Notamacropus eugenii: one gene and its partner. The protein of the gene in region 1 purifies or fractionates together with the protein of each later gene. This does not show direct contact. Links are inferred from orthologs where the notes say so. Each region holds a gene or a part of one and is shown on either strand. Other genes may lie near its edges. The genes, in order: KLHL6 and NUDCD3.

The links.
Region 2: the proteins of KLHL6 (region 1) and NUDCD3 purify together in Homo sapiens (affinity purification with mass spectrometry; 3 studies listed by BioGRID and IntAct, counting the BioPlex papers as one, with this or other methods). This does not show direct contact. The link is inferred for Notamacropus eugenii from reciprocal best matches to the Homo sapiens genes KLHL6 and NUDCD3.

The regions. Positions count from the first base shown.
Region 1 is NC_092873.1:54,256,873-54,267,761, forward strand, and holds the start of KLHL6 (kelch-like protein 6), read left to right. Parts: upstream 1-6,750; 5' UTR 6,751-6,964; coding exon 6,965-7,224; intron 7,225-10,889. UniProt on the Homo sapiens protein: Involved in B-lymphocyte antigen receptor signaling and germinal center formation.
Region 2 is NC_092872.1:522,769,210-522,780,385, forward strand, and holds the start of NUDCD3 (nudC domain-containing protein 3), read right to left. Parts: upstream 4,258-11,176; 5' UTR 3,886-4,257; coding exon 3,694-3,885; intron 1-3,693.

The DNA of each region.
Region 1 (10,889 bases):
GTCCTCAAGAGACTTAGTTCTCTCAGACCGTGGTTCTTTCAAGCATTTGTTGTTCAGTCATTTCAATTGTGTCTGACTCTTCATGACCCCATTTGGGATTTTCTTGGCAAAGATACTGGACTGATCTGTCATTTCTTTTTTTCAGATTACATTTTACATTTTACAGATGAGGAAACTCAAGTAAACAGGGTGAAATTACTTGCCCAGGGTCACATATCTAGTAAGCCTCTGAGGTCACATTTGAACTCAAGTCTTCCTGATTCTAGGCCTAGCACTCTGTGCACCATGGCACTCCCTGTCTGCCCTTACCCATGTCTATGAGAACATAGACAAGTCAAGTAACCACTCTCCATTTCATGCTCTGTAAAATGGAACCAGTCATCTTTCTACTACAAGTGCTTTATAACTATTATTTTCACAGGCAGAGGCCACCTTAGGAAGGGAAATGGATTGGACAAGTTCACCAAAGGGAGGAAATCCACCCCTGTGTAATGTGGGCAGAGGGCACTTTTGCTCTGAGGTTGGAACACGCTTCCTTCCTCTCTGCTGAGAAGGCTGTAGAATGTTACCATTTCTTTTGCAGCAGTTGATAAATCAGATTGTTTTGCTTAGGTATCTGCTAAGGGAAGGTAACAGGAGGGAAGTAAACACTGTGTAAAAGACCCAAACCAGCCAAACACATCAACAGAAGATTTAAAAAATAAGTAATGTGCAGTACTGTTCACTCAATGACCATGAGCTGTTCTGAGAGATTTAGTGATTTGTTGGTTTTAGTCATTTTTCAGTCATGTCTGACTCTCTGTGACCCCATTTGGAGTTTTCTTGGCAGAGATACTGGAGGGGTTTGCATTTCCTTCTCAAGCTCATTTTACAGATGGGGAAACTGAGGCCAATAGGGTGAAGTGACTTGCCCAGGGTCACACAGCTAATACGTGTCTGAGGCTAGATTTGAACTCAGGAAGATGAGTGAGTCTTCCTGATTCCAGAGCTCTGTGCACTACGGCACTACCTAGGTGCCCTGGTAGCACTTTACATACACTCAATGAATATCCAGTTCACAAAGGTACGCTGTCTACTTTGCTTCTCTAGAGGTAGAGCAATCAAGCAAGTAAGCAGATATTTATTAGGTGCTCTGTGATGGGCCAGACACTGTCCTAGGCAGAGGGGACACAGACCAGAAGTTAAACAGTCCCTGCCTAGTCAAAGGAGACAACTTGAACACATATAAGCATGTAACAATATAAGTGCCCAATACATACAAGGTGATTTTGTGTGGGAGGGCACTAGAAGTTGGGATGAATCAGGAATATAAAAATTGACCCTTGAGTTGAGCCCTGAAGGAAAGTCAGAACAGAGGAAAGGAGAGAGTGTACTCCAGGGGAGTGTGTTGTGGATGAGGTAGAGTGGGAAGGTCACAGCCTTCATGGAGGGGAGCATGGAGATAAGATGGAACCAAAGATGCTACAATCTGGTCAAACTGACTTCTTCCTTTTCCTCATGTACAGCAATCCATTTCCCATCTCTGTGACTTTGCACTGGCTGTGCCTCATGCCCAGATCTGGGTTCAGCTGCTGTGCTGATGACCTCCTATTTCCATGGTAAGTTCTCATCATGGTTCCTGTCGTCTCAGGCTCCCATTCTCACTATGCCATTTGTTGGGGCTGCTCCCAGAATGTCCTAGCCTTTGTTTGTTGCGCGCACACACACACACACACACACACACACACACACACACACACACACACACACACACACACACACACACACACCCCTTCTCTTAAGACATGAGGGGCTAGCTTGTCACTTAAAAATCTGGCCACGTTAGCCCAAGGTCACGGTGACTTCTTAGGGACATGAAGAAGTAAGAAATGCTGTTAGGATCTCTCTCTCTCTCTCCCTCTCTCTCTCTCTCTCTCTCTCTCTCTCTCTCTCTCTCTCTCTCTGTCTTTCTCTGTCTCTCTCTGTCTCTATCTCTGTCTCTTTCTCTCTGTCTTTCTCTCTTCTTTCTTCTCTCTCACTCTCTCCCTCTTCCTCTCTTCTCTCTCTCTCTCGCTCTCTCTCTCTCTCTTCTCCACTTTCTCTTCCTCTTTCCTCTTTCATTTACCATCAGACTCCAGGCTCCACAACTCTTAGCAACCTGAGGGAGTGCACAAATTCTCTTGTCCAAGTTTGCCCCCAAAGAAGAGATATGAGAATGTACCTCTTTCCATTTTTAGTAAAGATGGGGGACTATGTGTGTGATACACAGCATACACCAACCACACTTGGCTGACATGATGCTTAGTGAGTTTTTCCTTTCTTTTTTCTTCTTTGTTATAAGAGATGAAACTGTGGGAAAGGAAGAAGGAGGGTTATAATGGGAAATGAAGGTGATTTAACAACAACAACAAAAGATATAAACAAAAATTTAAATTGAAAAAGGCATTCAAGAATTCTGCCAGGAATTGGAGTCAGACTCATCAACTATGCAAAATAGCTTATAGTTGAAGAATTATCCTTCATTTTGAAAATAAGCAATAGCTTTGTAGCCCTTCTTTCATGTCTGTGATTTTTCAGAGAGCATCAAGAGGAGGGGTGAGGAACCTGTGGCCATATAGGTCCTCAAGTCCACTTCAGTTTGGATTCAGACAAAGGGCCACACTTGAGGACCTAGAGCACCACATGTGGTCCCCACCCCCATCCAAGAACAGCTCAGCCATCCTTCCTTCAAGTTCATTGCTTGCTGAACTCCAGTCATATTGTATTGAGACTATCCCTCAAGCCTGGGGTTTGAAAGATTGATTCCTTCATCATCTCCACCTGAGACACAGGATCATAGCTCAAGAGCTGAAGAGTGCATCTATCAGAGGTCATGGAGTCCAACTCCCTTATTTTAGAGTCGAGGAAATTGAGGTCGAGGGAGGTTAAAAGACTTCAAAAGGTCATAGACATGCATATAATTTTGTCTACCCCACCCCCACCCCATTTAAAGAAGACGAAACTGACCTAAGGAAGCTAAATGACTCATCCGAGACTGTATAGACAGTGACTTCTCAGGTTCCTTAGGGTCCTCCTTCTATGAGATCCCAGGTCCCTCAGGGAATGCTCCATCCATCCACAGATGGGTTTGGGTTTATTTGCCTATATCCACATCACATGCCCACAGCCGACTGTGAAACCCTTGAGGGTGGGGAACAGGTTCATTTTTTTCTCTGTCCTTATCTCCAGAACCTAGCACAATACAGCCAGATACTTACTGCATGTTAATTAAATGAAACTGAATTTTGAATTGGGGCCATTTTCTCCTCAACCATGATCTCTACTTCTCACCTTGTCTCCGTGCCAGTAGAGGGTCCAGGGCAGGGTCTTGCAGTCATTGGATGGGCAGTGGAGAAGGGGAAACTGATAAAGAAAGGGAGAACAAAGTTCTACAGTTCCTTTTCCCTCTACCACACCCCCGATGGCAGATGTAGCCTTGTTGGCAATATCCCTAGCTTTTGTTTCACTTCCTTACTTTCCCCCTCCTAAGCCCATTTCCGTTGCTCAACCCAGATCTCTCACCCCAGCTCCAGGGACACTGTGTTTTCTTCTGAAGTGTAGAGAAAGGTTACTGTGGTCCTCTGTGCAAACAGAGACCTGTCATCAACATCTGTATTCTCTTTGTATCTTTTTATAGTAATTATGTGAGAAAAGGAATGTCAGGGAAAGTGAGGAAGGGGGAGCCCTTTGATCTCTCATTATTTCTCCACTCTTGCATTATTTCTCCACTCAGAATTCTCGGATACTGAGCAAGACAAAGTCTGCTTCCATATAACAGGGAGGTACCTGGTTGCAGACCAGATGTGCAGATGGAGTGTGAACACGCCACACAGACCTGGAGACAGTGATGGGCCAGAAAGGAAAAGAAAGTAACCAAGGCTTGCTCCTTGCTGGTACTGTGAGTCACGTAGACTGTGCAGGTATAGCAGGATGGGTGGGCTATCCCCTAAGCTCCTTTCCAGTTCCTCCAGGAGAAGAAAGTTAAGTTGTTTCTAAGCAACACCAAGTCACACAATGTAGTATTCGTGGTATAGGTCTCTACAGAAAGCTGGAGGAAAGTTTTCTTGCCTGATTATGGGATTGGGCATAAGTCTTTTCTATATTTAGGATCAAATATGAACTTTTGGACATTGAGAACTCTTTATAACCTGTTCTCGGTTAGGTAGGTGGCATAGTGGATAGAGTGCTGGGCCGGAGTCAGGAAGACCAGAGTTCAAATCTTGACTCAGACACTTCCCCGCTGTGTGATCCTGGGCAAGTCACTTAACCTCTGTCTGCTTCAGTCCCCTCAACTACAAAATAGGGACCAAAATATTATCTACCTCCTGGGATGGTTGGGAGGAACGAATGAGATGATATTTATAAAGTGCTTAGCACCATGTCTGCCACACAGTAAGTAGTTCATAAGTGGTTTTTCCCCCTTCCTCCCCACTCCCTCTTCCCAATCTTCTTGCACATCATTTTCTTCCATATATTTTATGGTTCAGCCATATTGGTCTATTCCTTGAGGAGCAGACCTACTTTCTCAAATTACATTGGAGCCTTCTACACTTTCTATAGGGATTTCTCTCCATAGGTCGTCATTTGTAGTGAGTATGGTTGTGCCCAGATGCCTGTGCTGGTCCAGGGCCATGGATGGAGCCCAGACTCATTATACACCAGAATAGGGTGAGTTGAACTCATTTCCTTCAAGTCTTTTCTCTAGTAGCAGCTTCTGCAGGGTCCCTGTCCTGGGTCCCCCTCCAAGGTTACCTTATACCTGCCTTAGACATGTTTTATATGTACCTGTATATGTCTATACTGTTTCCCCCATTAGAATAGGCACAATTTCCTTTTTGTCTTTGTAGCTCCTAATATATGGCCCAGCACATAGTAAGCCCATAATAAGTGCTTGACGATGAATGGATGGAGCTGTGGTCTGTATCCTACCAAGAGCTGTTATGAAATTACATTCAGCTGAGGTCTCTCTCCTCCAGTTTCCCACCTCCCAAAGGGGGGATATCCATTAGGGATCCCTGACACCTGATATATGTAACCCTAAAAAGTTTCATAAAATCATATATCTGGAACTGGAAGGGACTTCAGAGGTTAGCTAGTCCAACCCTTTTGTTTTACAGATAGGGAAACTGAGGTCCAGAGTGGGGAAAATGTGACGCATGAATTCATATAGATTGTGGCAGAGGTACCTGACTATAACTACCTAAATTGCACATATGACTCCCAGGAGTAGCCGATAAGCCTTTTGGGAGTATGCCAGGGAGACGCGATTCTATTTTAAGGATGGAAACCTTGGTCACTGGACTAGGATTAGAAGGACAATCTAAAGCCATGAGAACAAAACTTTCTTCTCATGAAGCTACTGCCTTCTACAGGAACTGAACCTGTCGTGTTGGTCATCCATATTTACAGCAATTCCAACCCAATGAAAAAAACAGATTTGTCTTCCTTGCCTACACCCACACCCAGTCTACTTTTGCAGAGTCCAGCTCTTGGACATCCCAAAACTTCCCTAGGTAGTGCAGGCAAACTATACTTAGATCCCCTTCCCAGCTGGGAAGCTTCAGTCCATTGTCTTTCATTTTTATTTCTTAGTTGGGCAATGCATTTCTCACTGTAGAAAAAGATGCTTCAGTGACTTAGATGATGGATGAGGTGAGCCATGGTGGAGGCCAAGGGCACAGTAATTTTCAGGTCTCAAGAGGGAGGAGGAGTCCAAAATAGTCTGAGACTTCTGGGTCCATGTTTCAGGTCAGTTCAGGCATTTCCAGCTTGTGCAACTGCGAGTGTGGAGTGGGCATGGAATCAGAGACTCATACAGAGGGAAATGGACTGGATTCTGTATCAGAGAACCTTGGTTTGAACTCCTCTTACTGCTTGAGTACCTTGAGCAAGTCCCTTAACCTCTCTAAGTCTCAGTTTCCTCATTTGTAAAATGAAAGCATTGGTCTGTATGGTTCTTTCTAGCTCTCTGACTCTCCACCATCTTATGACGACTCCCAGAATTATCCCAGTCAGTGCAGGAACCCACTTAGATATATTAAAAACACATTTAACAGCCAGGACCAAAGAGCTCCATTACACTTGGTAGCTGATCATCATATTAAGGTAGAAAATGGCTTGGATCAGTCCGTTGATAAGCTATTATTTATTAAAGACCTACTATGTGTTAAGCACTGGGGATACAAAGGAGAGCAAAAGACAGTCCCTGCTCTCATGGAGTTCCCAGGGCAATGGAAACAAAATGAAACCAGGAAGTTGTTATTATTCAGTTGTTTCAATCATGCCCAATTCTCAGTGATGCCATTTGGAGTTTTCTTGACAAAGATATTTGGTGTGGTTTACCATTTCCTTCTCTAGCTCATTTTACAGATGAGGAAACTGAGGCAAGCAGGATGAAGTGACTTGCCCAGGGTCACACAGCTAGTAAGTGTCTGAGGCTGGATTGGACTTCAGGCTCTGAGCTCCATCCCTCCACCACCTACCTGCCCCTGGTCAGGAAGACCTCGTTTAAAATCCTGTGTCAGATAATTACTAGTTGTGTGAGCGCAGGCAAGAAAGTCACTCGCAAGTTAGCTCAATTGTAAAATGTGGAGGATAGACTCAATGGTGTCCGAGAACTCTTCTAGCTCTAAATTTGTGATGATATGTGTGATCTGTGATCTGACTCTTCCCCTTACATCTCAGCTTCTCCCTTTGTTTGTTTGTCTGAAATCATTTCTAAATGCAGTGGTATTTCAAAGAAAGAAGAAAAAAAAGAAGTTGCCCTCATTTGTAGCAACAGGATGAGAAAGTGCAAGGTTTCCTGTTATGTGTATGTGTGTGACAGCTGTTGATAAGTGGAGGGCCTTGGACAGGAAATCTGCTTGGCTCCTACAGTGTGACCTGGGTGAAACATCAGAGCTCTTTCAGACTTGTGTTGACGGGATGACACGGTGCCTCCTGAAACATGGGAGACACTGTGGAAAAAAGCCTAGAAGGACCCCTTACTCCTCTGGACGAGGGCCATTCCAGGAAACGTGGGGATCTGGTGGAAATCTTGAATGGTGAAAAAGTGAAATTTGATGACACTGAACTCTCGAGAATTCTACAGAATGGTTTGGAAAACCTCCGACTGGAAAACTCCCTGACCGATGTCATCTTGTGCGTGGACATTCAGGAATTCTCCTGCCACCGGGCAGTGCTTGCTGCAGCCAGTAATTATTTCAGGTATATGATACCCAGAATGAGAGTAGAGCTTGGCATTTGTTTGAACAAGGATTTCTGCTGGTGCTAGATTTGAAACGAATTGATAGGATGCTGTAACCATGGTTTGAAAATCACCTGAGGGGAGATGCTAACAGAGAAGTCCAGACATGGGGAACCTATAGGCTATTTTACAGACTAAGTCATAGAAAAATCACCATTTGGGGGATACATTTCGATGAAAGTCAAAGCCAAGGGTAGTTGTAGAGGAAGATGAAATGGATTGAAACTCCTGGGTCTTGCTGAGTTCTGTTGGGTTTGTTTTTAATTTGGCACCGTTGTTATCTGTGTTCTTTGTAACAATACATTAGAGAAACAGGATGTAAAACAAGAGTCCCTTCTTTTTTTCGAGTTATAACATGAATTGCCGAGAATGCTCCAATTGACTTTGGATTCAGTGAACCTGAGTCCAAATCCTGACTCTGACCCTCTCTATTTGTCACTTCACCTTTCCTGGGTCTGAGTGTCCTCATTTGTAAAATGACTGTTGAACTAGGTGGTCTTTGTTGTGTCTTACAAATGTTCATTTATGATCCTATAATTAAGGGGCTTGGGGGGATTGTGGGTAGCAGAGGGAGAAGAGGTTATTTCAAGGGCTCAGAGAAAAGGAGGGTGCTGAATCTCTAAATCATATTGAATTATCTATCTTATCTATTAGCCTTGTTTATACCCATCTGATGGATAGCCCTTATTTTCACCAGCTTGTGCACTATGCCTAGAATTCTGTCCCTCATCCTCTTCACCTCTGGGCTTCCCCCAGGGGTCAGTTGAAATCCAGCCTTCTAGAGGAATCCTTTGTCTTTGCTTTTAACAGGATGCCTTCCCTCTGTTGATCACCTCTTGGCCCAGCATTTATTGATTGTACACAGCTGTGTGCATGTTGGCCCCTATTGGAGTATGAGCTTCTTGAGAGCAGAGACTGACTTCTGCCTTTCTTTGTATCCCCCAGCACTTGGCACAGGGTCTTGGCACATAGTAGACGCTTTAAAAAGCTTCTTGACTTGACTGATAGGAAGCTCATGGGAGCATAGATTTAGAGGTAGAAGGGACTTTAGATATCATCTAGTTATCAGCTCATAGGATTCTAGCTCTAGAGTTGGAAGGGACCTCAGAGGTCACCTAGGTCACTCCCCCTCCATTTTACCAATGGGGAAACTGAGGCCCAGGAAGGGAAGTAACTTAGAATGACATGATCATAAATATAGAGCTGGAAGAGATCTCAGAGATCAGATAGTCCATCACCTTCATTTTACAGACAGAGAAACTGAGGCCTAGAGAAGTGAAATGATTTGCCTTTGTCACCGGGATGGAAAGAAGGAAAGCTAGATGTTGAGCCCAAGTTTTCTGATTCCAGACCCAGTCTTCTTTCTAACCCAGTATGCTGCCAATACAAGTAACAAGGTGTTGTTCATAACTGATATGCCAGGGTCCCATGTCAGGGATATTCCTGAGGCTCCCGAGTCATGGAAAAAGGACAAACCATGTCATAACCCTTCTTGACATCAAGGAAAGGGATCTTTCCATTCACTATCTTAGATCACAGAGAGAAGAACAACTTTATTTTTTCAAGTTTTAATGGCTCCTTTTGTATTTATGCCACAGCGATTTATCAAGGCATCACTCCCATCTTACTCCATTGAACCCTTCCCTACAAAACAGCCAAAGGTATACAAACCAAACCAACTGAGTGAGGCCTGGTGTTTGAGGTTATACGGAACATTCTGCTTCACTAGTCCCCCACCTCCCTCCTGGGAGAACATCCTCTGTCCTCTGAGACCAAGACTGATCATGACAGTTATTCAGAGGCTGGCACTCAGGGTTGTCTTCATTTACATCATGGTAGCCAGCCTGAATGCTGACCTCCTGGTTCTGCCTGCTTCCCTCTATATTAGTTCATACACGCCTTCCCATCCGAACGACTGGCCTGTGAAAAGCCCAGCAGAGCAGGCTCCTCTCCTAGCAGGTGCTGAATAATATCTGCCTCATGGATGACAAGAAAGACCTTCTCTTTGTTAATGCATTTTTCATGAAATTCATAAGAATGGTTACTTTGACATCCATGGACAGAGTGGGAGATATGACTCAGACCCCTAAGACAAGCAGACCACTGTGTTAGGTCTACATATTGAATCCATCATCACTGCAGGAAAGAAAAAGGATAGAAAAAGCTAGGAAAAGAAAATACTAGCCCTGGAGTCAGAGGATCTAGGTTCCTTTGACACTTAATGCCTGTGTGACCTTGGACAAGTCACTTAGCACTTATTGGCCTCAGTTTCCTCATCTGTAAATGCAGGAGCTGGGCTAGATGGCCTCTGAGGTCCCTTCCAAATCTAGGATCCTATGAAATCCCCTTGACTTCCATGAACCTCAGTTGCCTCATCTGTAAAATAAAGGGTTTGGAATACAATGTTCCTTCTGATATATTTTGATGACTATCATTTCAGTCCGTGAGCAATTTGTCCAGTGTTGCAAATTTCAATCCTTTCATATTCATTTTGTGTGATCCTTCCCTTGGTTTTCTTAATATATCAGACATAGCCACGTAGCCTCCCGCTGCTTCTGTGTTGTCTCTCCGTCTTTCTACCCATCCGGCCCACTTCCCTTTTCCAGTCTTACATATTCACAGCGATGTTGCATGCTATTTATCGTTGGAAGAATTGTTCCATTTCCTGTCTGATAGTTGTCCTCTGCTTTTCACTCACGAACACTCTTGGATTGACAGGAAGCATTGTGAGAGCCCTGAATTTGAAGAAAAGGGATAGGAGGTCATATCCTGGCTCTTTGTGACCTTGGGTAAACCAAACAACCTTTCCGGGTCACAGTCTCCTCATCTGTTAAATGAAGGGCTTGGTCTCCACCTCTTAGCTGGCTTAGCTAGATCTCATGCCAAGTTTTTAGAGGGTGGATTATTTTCTTCAACAGCTTTGCACTGTTTTGTGAGTTGATAGGGCTTAGAATCTTCCATACTTCTTTATAATGCAGAGATTTGACTAAATTCTTGCATTGACTAAAGATACAGTGATGAAATGGGCGTGTCCATTTCCCATTTTTCTGAGTGTTTAAACATTTTGGGTTGCAATATTTATAATTGTTCACATCCTTTCCTCATTTCTTGACATTTGATGCTTACTTGGACTTTTGATGATAAGACCGCTCATTAACAGTTGGTTCTGAAATGGCTAAAATCCCACCTTCTGCAAGTTGCCTTTCTCAGTCCTCTTTAAACTTAGTATCATCCTTCTGATTCTATTCCCTCATGTATCCTGTCCATAGCTTAACAAATTCTGAATGGTTGAATGAAAGAAGTATTCATGAGTATTTTTCAGATGTTGTGTTTCTCCAGAGTTTACCTGATTCTGGTCTCTTTCATTTTTTGACCCCAAAGCATATTTTCCAATATAATTTTCACTGTTGTCCACTGTGCTCGCTCTCAGATTGAAGCCATTGAATATCATGGTCTGGGCTGACAAAATATGGGGGATCTTGTTGAGTTTTTCAAAGAATTTCTCCATATCTTTGGATGTTGGTTCAGACCCAGAGCCCCAAATTGTCCTCACTGTGGCATCTTTGCTTACACCCACTGAAAGCTCTTCAAAGTAGCAGGACCTCATGGCCCATAATATGTGAAG
Region 2 (11,176 bases), on another chromosome or scaffold:
TAAATGCAAACTCATTAAGAAGAGGAATGGGCAAACTAAAAAAAGAACCCCACCATAATGAGTAACTATGGTGGCAGAAAAGTTCAAGACCCAAACACAGATAAGGAAAATTACCCCAAAACATCTACAAACAATGCCTCACAGAAAAATAGTTTGGGCTCAAACTAAACTAAAATTCCTGGAATATATGAAACAAGACTTTGAATTTTTTTTTTTTTTACTAAATGGAATGAAAGTGCATGAGGAAAAAATTGGAAATGAAAGCTATAGAATAAAAAACTGTAAAGAAAATTAACATCTTGGCACTAGAGATATGAAACCACGCGTGTCCAAGCAATGTTTAAATGGTCGAAATTGAAACCAACGATTTCATGAGGCATCAAGAAATACTGTGTGTGTTCGTCCTTCGTTGCCGAAGAAGACCATACCATCAGAGAAATAATGACATGACTTGCAATTGACTTTTGTTTTGTACTTGACTTTGTTTGTGCAGGTCACCAGCCTCACTTCTCCCTCCAGAGCCATGGGAATCCAGTGACCAGATATTCATCAGGATGACTCCAGATGACCCAGAATGAGGCAATTGGGGTGAAATGACTTGCCCAATGTCACACAGTTAGTGAGTGTCAAGTGTCTGAGGTGAGATTTAAACTCAGGTCCTCCTGACTCCTGCACTGGTGCTCTATCTATTGCACCACCTAGCTGCCCACGCAAGAAATATTAAGACAAAGTCAAAAGAGGAAAAAAAAACTAGAAGAAAATACAAGTTCTCTCATAGCAAAAACAACTAACTTGGAAAAGAATGAAGAGAAAATTTAAAAATCATTGGTCCATCTGAACATCATGACCAGAACAAGAATATATATGTGTGTGCATGTATATTATATATGCACATATACACACATATGCAACATACCTGTATACATATACAAGTGCGTATGTGTGTGTATATATATATTTATATATATATATATTTTTATATATATATATATATATATATATATATACACACACACACATATATGAAATGTTTCAAGAAATCTTAAAAGAAAATTGCCCAGATCTCTTAGAACCAGAGTGCAAAGCAGAAACAGAAAGAATCCACTGGTTATTTCATGAAAAAATCCTCAGAATGAAAACTCTTAGGAACATCACAGCCAAAACCTAGAACTTCCAAAACTAAGAAAAAATACTTCAAACAGACAGAAAGAAAGAATTCCAGTACCAAGGAGTCACAAGATTACACACAATTTAGCTGTCACCACCATAAAGGAATAGAGAACATGGAATATAATATTCCAGAAGGCAAAAGCTATATGGGCTTTATAGTCAAGAAAAACTTACCAGCAAAACTGAATGCAATATTATGGGAGAAAAAAAAACCAGATTCTTAAAGAAACAGACAACTTTCAAACATTCCTGATTAAAAAGGGAAAGGAAGGTTAGGGAAAATTACCTTACTTTATCAGGATGAATGTAGAGGGGTTGGAGGGGGGGGAACAGAGAGACATTTGAACCTTCCTTTCATTCAAAATAGTCAAAAGAAGGGAGAATACACATACTCAGATGAAGACAGAAATACCTTTCATTCAACAGGGAAATAGGAGGGAACAGGGATTAGGGAAAAGGAGTCTTAGAGGAAAGGTTAAGTCAAGGGAGGGATTAGTTTTAAACAAAACAAACTCTAAAGATATAAAAAAATAGCTTTTTTTGAGGTGGCAAGGAATGGCAACTTGACAGGGTGCCCATAAATTGAATAATAGATGAACAAAATATAGTATATAAATGGAATAGAATACTATTGTGCTAAACTCTTTATCTGCATAATGACCAACCAGGGTTCCAGAAAATTAATATGCTATCTACCTCCTGAGAGGTAAAGTACTAAGACAAATTTTTTTTGGACAAGACCCGTTTGGAATTTTGCTTTGATTGACCATACAAGTTTGTAATGGCTTTTGTTTTTCTTATGTTCAAGTAGGGGATTGGGTTACAAAGGTGAAAAGACAGATCTTGGATGATTAAAACAAACAAAATATATCTTTAAAAGCAAAAGAAAAACAATTCTGCCTCACACATTTGCGAGCTGTATGTTCACACCCAGGCAAGTCACTTAACATCTCTGAACTTATTCTCTCATCTTTAAAATGGAAATAATAACAGTATCTATTTCATAGGGCTGTCATGAGGAGAAAATTAAATAACATGTAAAGCATCATATAAATGTGATCTATATCATCATCATCATCATCACTATTATTTGTACAGAACTATTAGATGAAATTTCTGGTCATAGGAAAGGTTAGAAAAGACACAATGCTGGCCCTCAAATAATTCACAGTTCATGATGGTACAATGGAAAAGCACTTGATTTCAAGTTAAAGGACCTAAGTTCAAATCCCACCTCTGATATTTACATCTGTGTCACCTTGGCCAAGTCACTTAATCTCTCTGGGCCTCAATTTTCTCATCTGTAAATGAAGGGGTTGCACTGGATGTCCTCTAAGGTCCCTTCCAGCTTTAAATTTATAATCCTAGTAGAGGCATAAGACACCAATTTACTAATATAGGAAATTTCTTCCTACCTCAGATACAGATTAATATTTTTACTTCTGGATTTAAATAGACACCTTGAAATTCATCAAACTTTGAACAAAAAATTGCGCCCATTCCACAACCTGACAGCCTATGATCCTGCTTCCTTCCCTTCAACCTCTTGGTCAATTATTCCATTTTAACATAGCTCTAGTTCTATTGAGGTTATTTATGTTTTCCTCTCAGGAAAGTGGAGTTCTCTAAGTGATGCTCCCAAGCCTCCAGTGGTGTCCAGGCCACCATAAAAATAGGTAATATTTATATTCCTCTTTGAAGATTTATAAAGCCAAAGTTTTACATACATTACCTAGAAGCCTCAAAATATCCCTGAGATAGATGCTACTTTTATTCCCTGTTTTACAGCTGAGGAAACGTTACCTTATTGGAACCTCAAAATATTGCCAGAGTTGATGCTATTTTTTATTCCCCGTTTTACGGATGAGGAAACTAAAATCCAGAGAGAAACTATCTTGTCCAAGATCACAGTAAAGAGTGTTAGTATGAAAAGAGCTGGATTTGGAGCGATATGACCTGGGTTCAAATGGCAGGTCTTCACTACCACTGCTTAACTGTAGGTAAACTACTTCAGTTCTTTTCCCAGATTTTCCCATGGGTAAAACGAGTGGGGTAGCACTAAGAAAACCTCTAGGATTCCTTCCAACTGTAGGAGCGGTGTGAAGGCAGGAATGAAAACCCAACTCTTCCAGATTGATTCCAAGTCCTCAGGCCCCCTCAGCAAGAGCCCCGTCACGCCCTTTCAAAGAAGGCAGCTCAGCAGGGGGCCTCGGATAGACCGGAGAGACCCAGGGGACTGAAATCCCCCCAAACAGACTCCCAGAGCGTCCGAGCTGGGAGAGGTCTTAGAGGTCACTTTACAGAAAAGGAAGCTGCGGGCCAGAGAGGGGAAGCGGCCAACAGAGGGTGACCGAGCTCCGGGCTCTCCTCGCTCCCTCCCTTCCATATCCCGGGCACCGGGGCAGAGGTGGCGGCGAAAGGGCGGCTCCCCCCCCCACACCCCCGGTGACAAAGGGACGCAGCCCTCGGGTGGGGTCGCGCCGAGCCGCCCCGCCCCGCCGTGCCCCCCCCACCCCCGGTTACCTGCAGCACCATGGCTTGGGCCGCCCCGGGGGGGAAGCCCATGCGGTCAGCCGAGTGGCGCAGCAAGCGGTAGAAGTCCGTCTTGCGGTAAAGGAAACCGAACAACACCCGCAGAAAGTCCTGGACGTTGCCCACGTGCTGCAGGATGCCCAGCAGCGCCTGGTCGTACAGCTCCGCCGCCCCGGGCTCCATGGCGACCGGCCCGGTCGGCCCCGAGGCGGGAGGGACACTGACACTCGGGGACAGGGGGTGCAGCGGCCTGCCGCGGCCTGGGTCTCAGCGTCAGCCGCCGCCTCTGCCTCTGACCGGCGGCTTCCGCTGTATGTGAGCGTGTGAGTGTGTGTGTATGTGTTTGTGTGTTTGTGTGTATGTGTGTAAGCGTGGGCACCGTCAACGGCTCCACCACCCAGCCGCCGAGACCGAGGGACTTCCGGTCTGCCCTGCTTGCCTCCGGAGACAACGTCCCTCCCCCGGCGCCGAGGCCGCCGCCGCCGTCGGGATTTCCGGCGTGGGTGCCCTGGCTAAACAGGCTCGACGCAGCAGGGGAACCAAAAGAGGGCCCAGACCAGAAAGTCGGGGGTTGGCGAGCACGTGACACCCAACGACCCTGTGGGAAGAGGGCAAAGGAAGTTTTCTACGCCTCCCCCCTCCACGTGACGTACGCGCGTCACTGAGAAAACATCGCCACCTCCCACTGCGCGCGCGTGGGTTCCGAGCGTCACGTGACTCCGAGTTTCGGGCTCCTTTCTGTTTGAAGTTTGTTTCTCCGGACTGAATCGTGCTTAGCCTCGGTCCGCTCGGCGTCCTGAGAACCGGGGTGACCTCGGGCCTGGAACCAGACGCCCCGAGGGCTGCAGCTGGTGTGGAAGTTAAATGGTTTCGGTTTCAGCCCCCCTGTTGTGCACGCCAGGAAAAGGAGGCTAGGGAGATTCCGAGGTCGCGGAGCACCGCTGGATCCCGACCCCGATCCCGACCCCGATCCCGACCCCGATCCCGACCCCGATCCCGACCCCGGGTGTTGTCAAGAGCGGTGCTTGCCTTGCGGCCCTAGGAGTGCCCCACATCCCCTGCCAACCCTCCCAGTCATGCTGCCTGCGCACCGAGCATTGCCCTCTGGGCTCGCTGCGCCGGGCTGGTTTTGCTAAACTGATTTTTTTTCTTCTCTTTATAATTTTTCAAATGAGATAACACCTAGAGCGCTCCGGAAGCCCTGTAAACTTTACAGCTATTTATTTAATGTTATATTTATAGTATAACTACCTTTTTTTCCCTCTGTTGGGGAGAACATAAGATTTTGAAGGTAATGTAAAGGTAAAAGTTATTTTTAAAAGTTAAAGAAATTTTAAAAACTGAAAACCTTTTGCTTTAAGAGAAAGTTGGAAAGCTTTAAAAATTTTTATTGGGCTGATAAAAGGGGTGTGTTTTATGCGGTCCCCAATTTGCCCTAGTCAGGCCAAGTCTGAAGTGCTAAGTTCAGTCTGGGGCATATTTGGGTGATATGAGTAAGCTAAGTGGATAGAGCTGTGGGCAGGAAAATCGGAGTTCAAATCCAGCCTCAGACACTTACTAGCTGTAGGACATGGAGGAAGTCACTTAATCCAGTTTGCCCCTCGGTTTATCATTTGTGAAGTGACCTGAAGAAATAAATGCCAAACCCACTCCAGTATCTTTGCCAAGAAAACACCAAATGGCATCATGGAGAGTTGGACCCAGCCAAAACAAAACAACAATAAAAAGCTGAAGGAAGACCAGAAAAGTGAAAGGATCTTAAAATAACAAGATTTAAATCTGAAAGGGACCTTAGAAGCTTATCTAAACAGCCTCTCATTTTACATTTATAAGAAACTGAGGTCCAGAGAGTTTTAAGTGGGAGACCCAAGATTAACAACTGACAGGATTCAAACCCAGGTCCTTTAATTCTAAATCCAGCACTTTTTTGTGCCAATAGATTGTGTAACGGGAAGATCAGTTGATGAAACTGGAACAGCAACCTATGGGGCCACTGTCGACTTATTGAAAACCACATATTAGCCAGGAGCATTTGGAGGGGAAAGGTACCATAGTGAAATGGCACCAAGATGTCTTGGAAAAAAAAAAAAACATTTTGATCCACCAAAAATCCCTAAACTCAAGATGCTCAAAGATCAGCAGTATGTGGTGAGACCAATGGCCCCATTCAACATAAGACTTATGTAGTGAGTATATTTATGAAGGCAAGAAATTTAATGCCTGGAAGAAGACAGTACAGAATAAGCTATATCTGCAATTTTTCACTTCCACATCAAATGTACCTATTGTCTAGCTGAAATTACCTTCAAAACAGACCCAGAGAATACAAATTATATCATGGAGCCACATGAAATTTCTAGGCTGAGAAACTCCTGAAAGTTAAAGAAAAAAGGTTATAGAAGGAAAGAGAAGATGAAGAATTAAATAATTCCATGAAGGGGCTGGAGAACCAGATCAAGGACTCCAAGCTGGAGACGGAGACACTGGAAAATCTGCAGGAGCTGACAGTGTTTACCCAGTGCTAGGCTAATGTGGACTTTGAAGCAATATCACAGCAGTACCAAGTGTCTGAGAAGGAGAAACTCCAGTGAGATCAGGAGAAAGCCCAAATGGAAATGGAAAGAAGAAGCCAGGAAATGGTGACTGATCTAAGACACTGATTGATGAAGAGCTCACCCTTGCACCTACCCAGCTGCCCATTCAAGCCAACCCCACAGCCTTCTTAGAAGTCTCATAGCTAAAAAAGCAGAAGTTGGAGAGCTGGGAGCAGAGTGTGGGGGCACTTGGCAGCAAGTCAGAGCTGGCAGACCTGGTTGTGGCAAAGAGGCAGCTGCCCCAAGACCCAGTAGCAATAGTGGGCATGTGGTCTCGCTGTCTCATAGCACAGGTGTACAGCAGAGTTTTAAGGAGGCTAATGTTACCCAGGATATCCATTGTTTCAACCCTGAGCCACTTGGGGGCATACTCAAACAAGTGAAGACAGCAGCAACAGCAGCAACAGCAGCTGAAGCAAGGGAAACCTCAGACTGCTCCCCAATGGAGCCAGGTTGGAGTTGTTCGGTAGGCACAGCCATGTGAAGAAGAGAATTAGGCTGGAAGCAGTGCTGCCAGAGATTCTATCTAGTGAGCTTAGTGTGCTTTCCCCACTTCTTAGCTGCTCAGCAGCTGACTGCTCCATTCCTCTCCAAGCCCCTAAGCCCCAGGAGGATTCAGTGTGGTGGTACTCTTCCTCTGAATCTTTCCACTTTAGATAATGACAGGTGAAGATCTGACATCTGTTCCTGGCCTAGTAGACCTCCTAATAGCAGGGGTGGACCTATAGAAGATATTAGGCCTCAACCCTGCTTCCTTCAAACCCCTGCCCCTCATGCTCATCAAGCCCAGGCAATCAGAGCAGAATCCGTGGGGAAGCAGGGAATTACTTCTTACATTCCCTGGAACTTAAGAGCTTTTCCAGAATTCATTTATCTCTGTCACTGGTATTTCTTTCATGACAATCCATACAGACTGATATTTTTCATCAGTGCTCAGTGCTAACAGCATGTGTGGTGGGTTTGCCTTCGCCCTAACCCCATTTCAAGTAGCTAGGTGGTTTAGTGGATAGAACACTGGACATGCAGTCAAGAAAGCCTAAGTTCAAATCTGCTCTCAGACACTTATTAGCCATGTGAGCCTGGGCAAGTCACTTAAATCTATTTGCTTCAGCTTCTTCATCTATAAAATAAGCTAGAGAAGAAAATGACAAACCACTCCAAGATCTTTACCAAGAAAACCCCAATTGGAGTCACTAAGAGTGAGACATGGCTGAATATGTGTCAGGTACTGTGCTAAGCACTGGAGATACAAAGCTCCTCAAGGAATTTGCAATCCAGTAAAGGAAAGTAAGACTCAAAAGGAAACTAAGAAAGGGAAAGGAGGAGAAGAAATAACCAACATGGTGGCTTAGTGGAAAAAGGCAGGGAAGTCCCAAGGTAGAGCACCCAGGTAAGAAGTGAGTTTTCTAAACTGAAGTCTCCTTAAATGGAGATTGCAAGTTCATGGCCTCATCCTTCAATCAGTCATATAGAAGAAGGTTTAGATTTGTGCTTGGCCTTTCACCTGGAATCTATCAACTAGGTTTGTTTGTTTTTTAATCCTTCAGTTTCAATATAATTGGTTTCCTTTGTAATTCATTTTATTTTATGCATTTAAAAACATTATTCCAAGAAGAGTTTCTGAGAATAAATTTTACCAGAGCCCCAGTGGGGTAAGTGATACACAAATAGCTTAAGAACTCCTGCCCTAGAAAAGATAATTAGAAAAAAGGGGTGGAATTGCAGAAAAAAAAAAGACAAAAAAACACATATTTCTCCTCATTTAAAGAGGAACTTCCCAATACTCCCCCGCTAGATTGTAAACTCCTTTAGAATAGAGATTGCCTTTTTTGTATTGGAATCCCTATTACTTAACACAGTGCCTAGCACCTAGAAAGCACTTAATAAATGTCAATTGACTATGGCAAAAACTAGACCCTTTCTTCTCGTTCAGCCATCTCATATTGTAGATGGTGAAACTGAGACCAGAGGTGAAGAGACTTGCCCAAGATCACACAAGTAGTTAAGTGGCAGAGCTAGAATCAAACTTAGATCTTTTCATTCCAAATCTAATGCTTTTCCCCACTGCGTTTCACTCTTTTAGAGAAGATTCTTGTTCAGGTATGTGTAGTACTAGTTGGCCTCAGAGTTCCCTTCCAACTCTGAAATACTGTGCCAGCAGGATTGGTGAGTTAGGGGAATGTCCACCCCAACCATGTGAAGACTTTCCCTGGTGGGATGGACAGATGAGAACAATTTGTTCCAAAGGCCATGAAGATGGCTAAAGCAGGCACTGTGGAGCTCTTAGAGCTTGGTCAGACATCAGAGAAACCTAGGACATCCTCTCATCCCTAGCCATAGCCATTCACCTTGACATTTATCCTGCCACTGAACTTCAGTGACACTGGAAGAGAGAGTGAGGCTGTTGACTTTGTTCAATTCTACCTAAAATCCAATTCAGACACTAGTGAAGATATCATCCACAGTGTCATTGATCCTCTTCCAAAAAAATGATTAACAATTGTTTTTCATCTACCCTCAGCTAGGGCTCTGTTTTATTCATCTTTATTACTCCCACAGCATCTAACACAGAACCTTGCAGATTGTAGATGTTCAATAAATGAATACTGAATTCTTTGTTATATTTATTAAATTATATTTGTTATTTTTATAAGGTTTATAAAGTTCTCCATGCAGGGACCACTTGAATTCTCCCTTTAGTTTTAGAATAAAGAAATCTTGTCTGATGATTGAGTCACCAAACAAGAATTAAATTATGTTATGTTTAATTGTATCAATGACAAATTGTAAAATTTAAGTTGTTACATTTGGTTCCTGTTCTTTTATTAATTACTTGTGCAGGCTTTTGATTGATCTTTGTAAGAGAGTAGAATTGAAGAGGAGTAGGTAAATGACCTTCACCATGTGTTCTATATAGAAAAGACTACTGGTTGAATATCAGGCTTGTCAAGCTTATCCTCAAACATATGAACAATGACCTCCCTCAAGAAACATCTTGAGAAGAAAAAGGAAGATGTCCTGTCCAACATGGTGTTTGTCACTTTTGAAGGAAGCTCCCCCGACAGAGGGCTTGGACTGGCTAGAGGTCTACATAAGTTCTTTTGAAAATTAAGGTATATATTAATTAATAGGAATGGCTTGGTGAAAACAAACAAACAAACAAACTCTGGACTTGGAATCCAGAGAAACTTGAGTTTGAATCCTGCCTCTAATACTTTATTACCATGTACAAGTAACTGCCTCTCTCTCTGAGCTTTAGTTTTCTCATTTCTAAAATGTTGGGGGTGGGTGGGAAATAATAACCTGTAAGAAGAGAGACAGCCTGGCATAATGCATAGAGACCTAGCTTCATTGTCAGAAAGACCTGGATTTAAGTCCTCCTTTCTAACACCTAGCAGTGTATGTGACCCTCAGCAAGTGACAATTTGTTGTAGTCCAGAAAGTCACAAAGACTATGAGTTACAGGTAATGATCTGCTTTGAAAGGGGAAGTTTCTGTACTAAGATTCCCTCCACCAATGAAATCACAGATCTGCACTAAAAAAAAAAAATTCTTGTATTTACTTCAGTGGTAATGCCCACTATGAAATTAAACTTTGTGCAACATGGAGCAAAAACCACATGTGAAATCCTATTCTCATTCCTAGTCTTTTGGCAAGAAAACTTTGTGATTTCTTTGCGTCATATTATTTCTTGACTTCAGTACTCAAAGGTTGTTCCAGGTATCATACCTGTGTTGCCCAATATGTAGTATTTGGGCCACTGAAATACTGGCTGACATACAGTTCTTGTGTGTGCTTGCCTTCCTTTTACCTTACAAGAAGATAGTATATCATAGTAAATTATCCAGCTAAGGAGTATAGTACTTAAATTGTCCACCACATAACCCTCTTCCTAGAGCCATCACACTAGTTGCCTTTCAAAAGACTGAAGTATTATCCCTTCTTGGTACCAGCAGAGATTTAGCATACAAATACCTGGGCTACAACTGCTATACATGGCCACTTTCCAATTTTAACTAGGGGCCTTTAATGGAATATTACTCAAAACATCAAAAATATGAAATCTATAGCCATAGATCTCCCATACAATATCTGACTATTCCTCTCAGTAGTCGTGACATCCCACATCCAAAGAACTACAATATTCCATTTACTATGGAAGCAGTTGGTCAAATAGTAGATGGAGCACTGGGTCTGGAATCAGGAAGATCTGAATTCAAATCCAGCCTCAGATGCTTACTAGCTTTATGACCCTGGGCAAGTCATTTAACCCCAGTTTCCTCAACAGCACCTAACTCTCAAGGCTGTTGTGAGGATCAGATTGGATATTTATAAAAGCACTTAGCATAACGTCTGGCCCATAGTACATAATACTATTCCCTCTCCCTCCCTACTGTAGCCACTGTTTATTGAGCATAATGAAAATAACAGGAAAGGAGTTGAGAATCTATGTGGAACCAACCATGTTAAGGCATTTTCTAAAAACTCCCCCAGATGACCTCCCAGTTCTTCAGGTGTATCCCTTATAGTTTTAGAGAGTTGCTTACCTCATTAAGGAGTTAAATGACTTGCTGATGTGTCAGAAGCAGACTTAAGCCTGGCTCTTCTTCCAAAGGCAGCTTTCCAAGTCTTGTCAGAGAGGTAATAAGGACAAAAGGTCGACTTTGTTTTGGGTAGAGGTAAGAGCATTCACTGATCATGGAACAAGGGTTAAAGTCTGTACTTTGCCACTTAATATGTGGCTCTTGATTTGTTTCAGTTTTTATCATATTAATATTGCTCTGGGTTATAATTAAGAAACTACTTGGTAAACTTTAAAGTCAATGACGAGAGTATGGTTATGCCAATTTTTTACCTATAAAAAAACACACTAAAAGAA